Kluyveromyces lactis: one gene and its partner. The protein of the gene in region 1 interacts with the protein of each later gene in a pairwise test. Links are inferred from orthologs where the notes say so. Each region holds a gene or a part of one and is shown on either strand. Other genes may lie near its edges.

Evidence for each region.
Region 2: the proteins of ROM2 (region 1) and ACK1 interact in binary tests that used the Saccharomyces cerevisiae proteins (3 or more experiments, as listed by UniProt). The link is inferred for Kluyveromyces lactis from reciprocal best matches to the Saccharomyces cerevisiae genes ROM2 and ACK1.

Annotation. Positions count from the first base shown.
Region 1 is NC_006038.1:683,726-688,190, reverse strand, and holds the start of ROM2 (Rho family guanine nucleotide exchange factor ROM2), read left to right. Parts: upstream 1-1,547; coding exon 1,548-4,465. Other genes in the region: ARC18 (Arc18p), read right to left, coding at 1-490. UniProt on the Saccharomyces cerevisiae protein: Stimulates the exchange of RHO1 GDP-bound form into GTP-bound form.
Region 2 is NC_006039.1:1,307,879-1,311,575, reverse strand, and holds ACK1 (Ack1p), read right to left. Parts: upstream 2,281-3,697; coding exon 766-2,280; downstream 1-765. Other genes in the region: HEM1 (5-aminolevulinate synthase), read right to left, coding at 1-26; COX20 (Cox20p), read left to right, coding at 2,966-3,523.

The DNA of each region.
Region 1 (4,465 bases):
ACCAGAACTTCGAAGGCACTTCTCTGTTATCTTTATACACTCTTTCTAGCAATCTCATAGCCAGTTCTTGACGGAATTGTTGGATATAACTTTTTAAAAGCTCCACATCTGCTGGGTTGTCCAATGGAATGGAGTAGACAGTGTTCAATGGGAAACCTGGAGTGCCTGGGATAGCAAAGCTATCTAAACCTAGATTCATTAATTTCTTAACAGCTTCGTTATAACTAGTCGATAAATTCAAATTTGCCAAACAGTCGTTTATGAATAGAATGCCGTAGATTAATATTCTATCAGCTGGGGATTTGATCTCAAAGTTCTTAAAGAAGGAATTGGCACGGAAAAGATCTAGACATTCATCGATAATATCGTAGTCTGAATTGGACTGGTAAGCTGGTCCTCTATATTTCGTATTCAATGGAAGTAGTGCAAAGTTACCCACGAAACGATCAGTAGCTGGGTCCGCTAGAAAAGTAGAATGGAAAGCTGGCATTATGTGTTTGTATTAAGGTCTGACGAGATTATCACCCGATTTGATACTCCTGCGATTTTAATTCAGACGTACTTTAGCTACCTAATCATATATTTTACCACATATGTTATTTCATAGTTTAGTTTTCATATTGAAGTAGCTTTTCAGTTTTAGGCAGAGAAAAGGGGTTTCACTAACAGAAGTTACAACAGTTGATTCGATCACTTGGTGATGTATTAGTGATGATCTAAAGCATCAAGTAGGTATAGCAAAGGGAAGATAGAGGAGGGTCCGGAATTATCGAGGCCTAATCAACTAGTCTTTTGATACCATCCCAAAAGTAGCAATCACGTGACTCATGTAATACAGATTCAGCTTCCCCTGACTTCAAAAAATTACATAATACAATAAAAAATAAAAATACGCATACAGAAGCCACTGTGCCAATAGTCACGATAACCATCTGATTGAGGCTAGTGACAGGATCTGGAACAGCAAGGTTATACACAAATTACCGGACGTAAATTTCTATTTTCACTGCTATTTTTTTTTCCATATTTTTTGCTTGTTTTCCGCACTATGATGATGTCCCAAATCTCAACTTCATGCACCGATGTTTCGTAAGTTGAGAATTTGATTTGATTTGATCATTTGAAAGAAAATAACGGAAACCTGATAAATAATAAGGAGCAAGGCTTGATTGAAGGTTTTGTTGACACAGAGATTTGGGCTAAGAAAGTGTTATTTCGATACCGGAACGGCAGATTGGAAACTTAGGGTGGTGTACAGTAATCTGAGAGAGTACGTTTGGTGTGTGTGAACGGGAATAATTTCATAAGGCGCAATTACAAACTCTGTTCGGTTTTCGTTTTGGTTTCAGTTTTCCTTTATTATTGTATTTTTATTTTGGTTGAGGTTGTCTGTTATTCCAGTTCCAATATCCTTTCAAACTTGAGTATTCCATTATTCCTTTCATTTCTGGGATTAGTGTCTTTCTTTTTGCTTTTGGTTGACCTAAGAGAAGCTTAGAACAGGATTTTTGCATTAAGTGTCTTTTTGTTCTTTCTAAAGCGAGACAATGAGTTTTTCCTCCAATGATATGGAACAAGACTCCAGGAGGCAATTGTTCACCCAGATTTTTGGTATTGAGCGGCCTTTGTCGCCTCCCCCAAGTAATGTACCGAGAGAACTGCCAGATTCTTTAGATATGATGAGTTTAAAGGCTGTGCTCAATGAAGATGTAGAGAACGATTTACTGCAAAATAGAGGTCAGATCTCAGAAAACAAAACTGGGACTGAAAGGAGTGTTTTCAGAAGTCCTGTCCATGTTCGTCAAATAAGTGACGTTCCAAGTATGGACACGGAGGATGATATTGTGACTCCTCCAGAGTCGACTTCTCCACAGGCGTATCCACCAGAGGATCTTTCTTTACCTAAGCAGCGACCTATGTCGCATCATCATCATGGTAGACCAGCGCCGCCCGCCATGGACATGATTCATGAATCACCGAGAAGGTCAAAGAGTGAAAATTTCAATTCAAAGCCGTCTTTACCAAAACTTTCAACTACAGGACAAATTAACAACAACAGCAGCAACAACTATAGCAACAACATTAGTAATCTTAATTCACGGGGATCATTCAGTGCCAAAAAATCTCCGCTGCAAGGATTTGGACTATTTTCAAGATCTAGCTCGAAATATTTGCAAGCGGATGCAAACCTTTCGTCGAATAATTACAATAATAACTCATCATCTGATCACATTTTCGGAAGGACTCAGTCTATAAGTTCTTCTACTTTCAAAAACTTTACTTCTTCTTTGCATGGGAAAACTAAAACCGTTGGTGGTCGAACCATTCCGCAAAAGTACGATCACTCAACGAACCCATTGCTTGATTCAACGCTAGGTCTGGGCATCAAACAAAGAGCATCTTCTGCATCGTTGTCCACCGAATCAGCTATGTCGAGGCATATACGTAGAACATCCACCAGCTCATTACACACAAAGCATATAGTGGTATCAAGTTCTATTAGGAGACCCCAGGTGTATCCCGCAATGCTATCGAGAGTTGCGACAGCTTTCAGAAAGTCAATCACATTGTGCGAACACAAAAAAGATGGACTAGTTTACAGAGACGCATTTACTGGTCAACAAGCCATTGATGTCATCTGCTCAATAATAAGGACAAATGATCGTAATTTAGCTTTGTTATTGGGGAGAGCACTTGATGCTCAAAAACTCTTCCACGATGTGATTTATGAACACAGGCTTCGTGATTCCCCTAACGAAGTTTACGAATTTACAGGCAATTCCAGAGTTATCGGTAAAGGCATATATGAGATCGGTTCTACTAACAATTTCTCTGCTTCCCAATCCAGCACTACCATCGCACCTTCCAAATCCGAATCTAGTCTGTCTCTGATGGAGAAACCGGAGGATCTAGACTCTTATCATCAAGTGAACGGTGTATTCACATTGTTAGCAGAATGTTACTCTCCAACTTGTACTAGAAACAGGTTATGTTATTCTATTTCATGTCCAAAGCGACTCGAACAACAAGCTCGTTTGAATTTAAAGCCAAATGGTGGATTAAAAAGAAATATTTCTATGGCAATTGATGATGACGATGAAGAAAAATCATCATGGACAAGTTCTGTTCCAGAAGAACTCTGGAGTTCACTTACCAAACGTGAGATTAAAAGACAGGAAGCTATTTACGAAGTCTACAGCACAGAAAAGAAATTTGTCAAATCCCTTGAGATTCTTAGAGATACATTTATGAAGAAACTAGCTGAAACTAACATCATTCCTGCCGATATACGCAAAAATTTTATCAAACATGTTTTCGCCCATGTTAATGACATATATTCCGTAAACAGACGGCTCCTAGACGCTTTGTCAGAAAGACAAAAAGCATCTCCGATAGTCGATGGAATTGGTGATATTTTACTACGTTTCGTTCCATTTTTTGAACCTTTTGTTATGTATGTGGCATCCAGGCCGTATGCTAAATATTTGATCGAAACTCAGAGGTCCGTTAACCCATATTTCGCTCGGTTTGATGATGACCTGATGAACTCTAAGTTAAGACATGGGATTGATTCCTTTTTGTCTCAAGGTGTTTCTAGGCCAGGTCGTTATGTCCTACTTGTTAGAGAAATAATGAAGTCTACCGACCCTGAAACTGAAAAGAGGGACTTGGAGAATTTAACAAGGGCCCTAGAAGCCCTTCGTGCATTTATGAAACGTATTGATAAGGCTAGTGGTGCTGCTCAGGACAGACATGATGTTAAATTGTTGAAGCAAAAGATTCTTTTCAAGAATGAGTATGTCAACATGGGATTGAATGATGATAAACGGAAGATCAAGCATGAAGGCCTTCTATCAAGAAAAGAAATTACCAAGAATGAAAATGGTGTTACAGGTGACCTTCAATTTTATCTACTGGACAATATGTTATTATTTTTGAAGTCAAAAGCAGTCAATAAATGGAATCAACATAAAGTTTTCCAGCGGCCTATACCTCTCCCGTTGTTATTTGCCGCTCCTGGTGAAGAAATGCCAAGTTTAAAGAGACATATTTGCGGTAAACCGGATAGTCAAGGTATGGTTATTTATCCTGATGCAATCGCTGGCACGAATCCCAGAAATGCTATCTCTTTCACGTATTATGGTGCTAAAAACAAATACCAAGTAACGTTATACGCAGCACAGTTCGCAGCAATGCAAACGCTTCTTGAGAAGATAAAGCAGGAACAAGCTAGGATTATCAAAGAAAACGATATCTTTAACGTTTGCAAAATTAGTGATAGGTATTTTGATTACTCCAATAAGATTAACAGCGTTGCATCTTGTGATGGCGGACGGAAGTTAATAATCGCCACCTCGCAAGGCCTATTTTACAGTAACATTAGAAGAGCAGAAAACTCTATAATATTCGGGGCTCCTACAAAGCTTCTGACAAAGAGTAACATCTCACAACTCTCTGTGTTAGA
Region 2 (3,697 bases), on another chromosome or scaffold:
GCAGAAGAACGAATAACAGATTCCATGTTTTTTCAATCCAAAATGAAGACGGTTAAGTGTGTGCAAGGGAAACCAATAAAAGAAGCTTTCTCACTCGCAAAGATATAGCCACTTCTAACAGGTAGAATCTTTTTAAATTTTTCTCTTCAGTGACGAAAGTGAAACCTGGTGTATCAAAGAATATTTTACTCTAGATTAGAGAAGCACTGAACCAAAACCAAAGGTGTATCTTAAGTTAAACCTGAAGCTCATCTCTTATTATATAATTATGAAAACATATCATATTATATCTTTTTTTGAGTTTTCAGTCATTTTTTCCTCAGTCATTTTCATTTTCAGGCAATATGAGAGGATTTTACCTTTGAAATGATTCCGACATTGCCAGTTCCGCAGAAGATATTGTAGGAAGACAGGGAAGGGAAAAGGGAAAAAAAGAAATGCTGGACTTAGGAGCTTTTCTTTTTGGAGGTTTTCAGCCAATAAGAGTAGAGGATGATGTGAGCGAAGCGAAGAGCTGTGGCAGTAATGCTGGCCCTGGCCCTGGACCTGGCAGTTGAAGCTGGGGATTGGCCTGGATGAGCATGGTTCGCTTAGCGGGAGCAAGTCCGAGTTTAAGCTATGTTGGTGTCGCTTCGCGACACCAACCACCGCCAGAAATTTAACTTCTAGAGAATACCAATAACTAACTACTCTAACCAAATCTTATTATTACATATCATTACAATGAAGCTAGCTACGCAGGACAGTAAAAATAAAACCGCAAGGTCACATTTTCCTCAAGGCCTCGATGGCTTTCGGATGGCCAAGACGAGCAGCAGTTTCGTGGTGTACCTTGGCCTCTTGTATGTTTGGCTGACATCCAAGGCCTTTCTCCAAGTAAAATGCTAATGCATACTCTGCTCTTGGTAATTTCCCGTCAGATAATTTCGAAGCACGTGACACCCACTTGAAGGCCTCTACGTCGTTCGGTTTCAATATCCCCTCAGCACCGGTAAGGTACCAGCCACTAAGTGCTACCATGGCTAACGGGTTTGGTTTGGTCTTGTTCATGGAACTCTTTGCGTACCATGCAATGGACTTCTTGGGTATTACAGGTAGTCCCATCTCCCCAAATTCATAAAAATGACCCAATTTGTATTGGGCTTGAGAATAATCGAAGTCATGGGCGCATCTATAATAGTATTTGATCGATTTTTCCTTATCTTGAGTGATTCCGTTTCTCAGAAGCTCTTGTCTAACGGATTCGTCTAACTCTTCAAATCCGTAAATCTTACCCAACTCAACCATCGCTTGTGGCGATACTGATTCCAGTTCTACATGAGCCTTATCGTCTCGTGGGATTTCGATCTCCTTGGTAGCCATTCTAAACCAGTATAAAGCTTGTACAGGGTCTCTTTTGATAACGATTTCACCAGATTTCGTTCTCAGTCCTTTCAAATAGAACATCCCGAGCTTGTACATGGATACAGAATGTCCATTGGTCAAAGCTGCCATTTCATAGTACTTCTGTGAAATCTTTAAAGCTTCGTATTCACTCACAGTTGTGTAATCTACTCCACGTCCGTACTCGTAGCTGACACTGGTCCGATACATGGCATCCTTATGACCCATATCGGCTGCTCTGCGATAGTAGTCTAGAGCTTTTGCATCATTCTTAGACACGATATCCATGGGCCTTGGAATATCTACGTAAGGGTGGTGGGAATAAAGTGTCCCTAATAGGTAGATCGCTGGTGAATAGTTTAACTGAGTTAGTTTCGTTAACACGCGTAACGCATGCTCTAAAATGGTCCTTTTATTCTGTAGCATTTCGGTCTCAGTTAAATCCCGTTTCAACTTTTCAGCATTGATATTGTATCTGATTAAGAAAGTGGGCTTGAACGCATATTGCAACAGTGTCTCGCACCATTTCAACTGGATATCCTTCGTAAACTTGTTTGCGTCCTTGACGGTTCTGTCATATGCTTCATAAAACGCGACAGCCTCGGAAGAGTAATTTGAAAGATCCCGTTCACTCTTAGCACTGCTAGGCGGGTTATCCACTTTGGGTATGCTGACTTGCTGCGCCGGTGGTGGTTGTCGTGATACTGGCGTCGTTACCGTTGACTGGGAGCTTTGTCTTGTATCTTTCTCATACATTTGGTATGGAATATTCGTATCTGCAACATGATTCTGGGGCAGATCATCAACCGGATATGGTGTATTCTTACTTGGCTCGTGACCTGGCGGGTACATGTTTATGTAGTTGCCATACGCGTTTCTTTGTCGGTTGTTATCCATTCTATTTCTCTCAAGAGAACGATTTACCAATGTCCTATCCTTTCTACGAATTTCTTCCGTGCAAACGCTTTCGAATCCAATACTACTTGCAGAGCAACTCACTTACCCACAGACTCAAGCTGATACCAGAGGGCAGTGTTTCCAGAAGCCTAGTTGAAATGCTTAACGGCCACTGTATTTTTGTTGCAACTCATCGTTTCAGATTAATTCAATTTACCATTATTTTACTGATTTTCAGAGTATCGGATTCTGTCGCCTTTTTTTCATTTCTACTGCGACAGTACATATGAATCGCAGAAAGCGACTTTTAAATATAGAACGGATAAATAAATGTACATATTGTGTCAGTTTAATATGTTCAAGACAAACTAGGAATGCATTTCCAGAGACTTGCTATAGTTTCACTGTTTAAAAAGTCACTTAGGTCAAGAATTTCCAAGTACCTTCTGATTTTATGATTAAATACTGACGCTTCCCAAATATTCCATATTTTTCAATTATTTTTCGGTTTGGAAAAAGTTGTGTCTGTAGGAAAACTGATTGACAAACTAAGATTATAAGATGAGATGATGCTAAAAGCGTTGACAAGTAAGCAGCAATTGAGATCTTCATTAAGCTAACCTAGGTAGCTGTCAAGTAATATAAACTCCCGTTGAATTGATATTTTAATATTCAGAGCGCAAACATGGTGTGGCCATTTTCTAAGAGTAAAACGCAAGAAGCAAGTACCGAGGTGGAAAGGAGTATATCAGAGGAACAGCAATTAACGAATTATGCTAAAGGACAGAAGTTTCTATTTGAGGATACAAAACCCAAATTCAATAATGAGTCCAGTAGTATGGCTGCTCGAGAGCAGGAACGTGCGTCTTTGAAAGAGGCATGGAATACGATAGACGTGAAAGATTTCAGTGTCGAAAAGGTACTGTCAATTCCATGTTTCAGAGACGCAGGGATCGGAGGGTTTACATCGATGTTTGTTGTCGGATCAGTGATGTTCTTGTACCATAAGAATCCTGCTCGTGCGGCAAATTGGGGTGTAGGAGGTTTCATACTTGGATCCATTGTAGGATGGGAGCAATGTCGCATGCGTCGTAGACGAAGCTTCCAAGTGGCAGCAATGGCCAAACAGACTGTTGCAGCAAAGGAGAAACCAATGCTGAAACAGGTTAAGAATATAGATACAGTCAAGAAGGAATGGGAAGAGGGCTCTAGAAACAGTAAACCTTGGTACAAATTTTGGTAGGTGCAAGACATGATATTGACTTACCACCACGTGACCTCGTATCTTTTTTACCCAACATAAGACGTCGTAGGCAATATTTTAGGCATGTAGAGTGAGAATGAATAATTCTTGATTCCTGGCACAATAGTACAGGACATCATTTAATGACATATACCGTTTATAATACCACTGCAT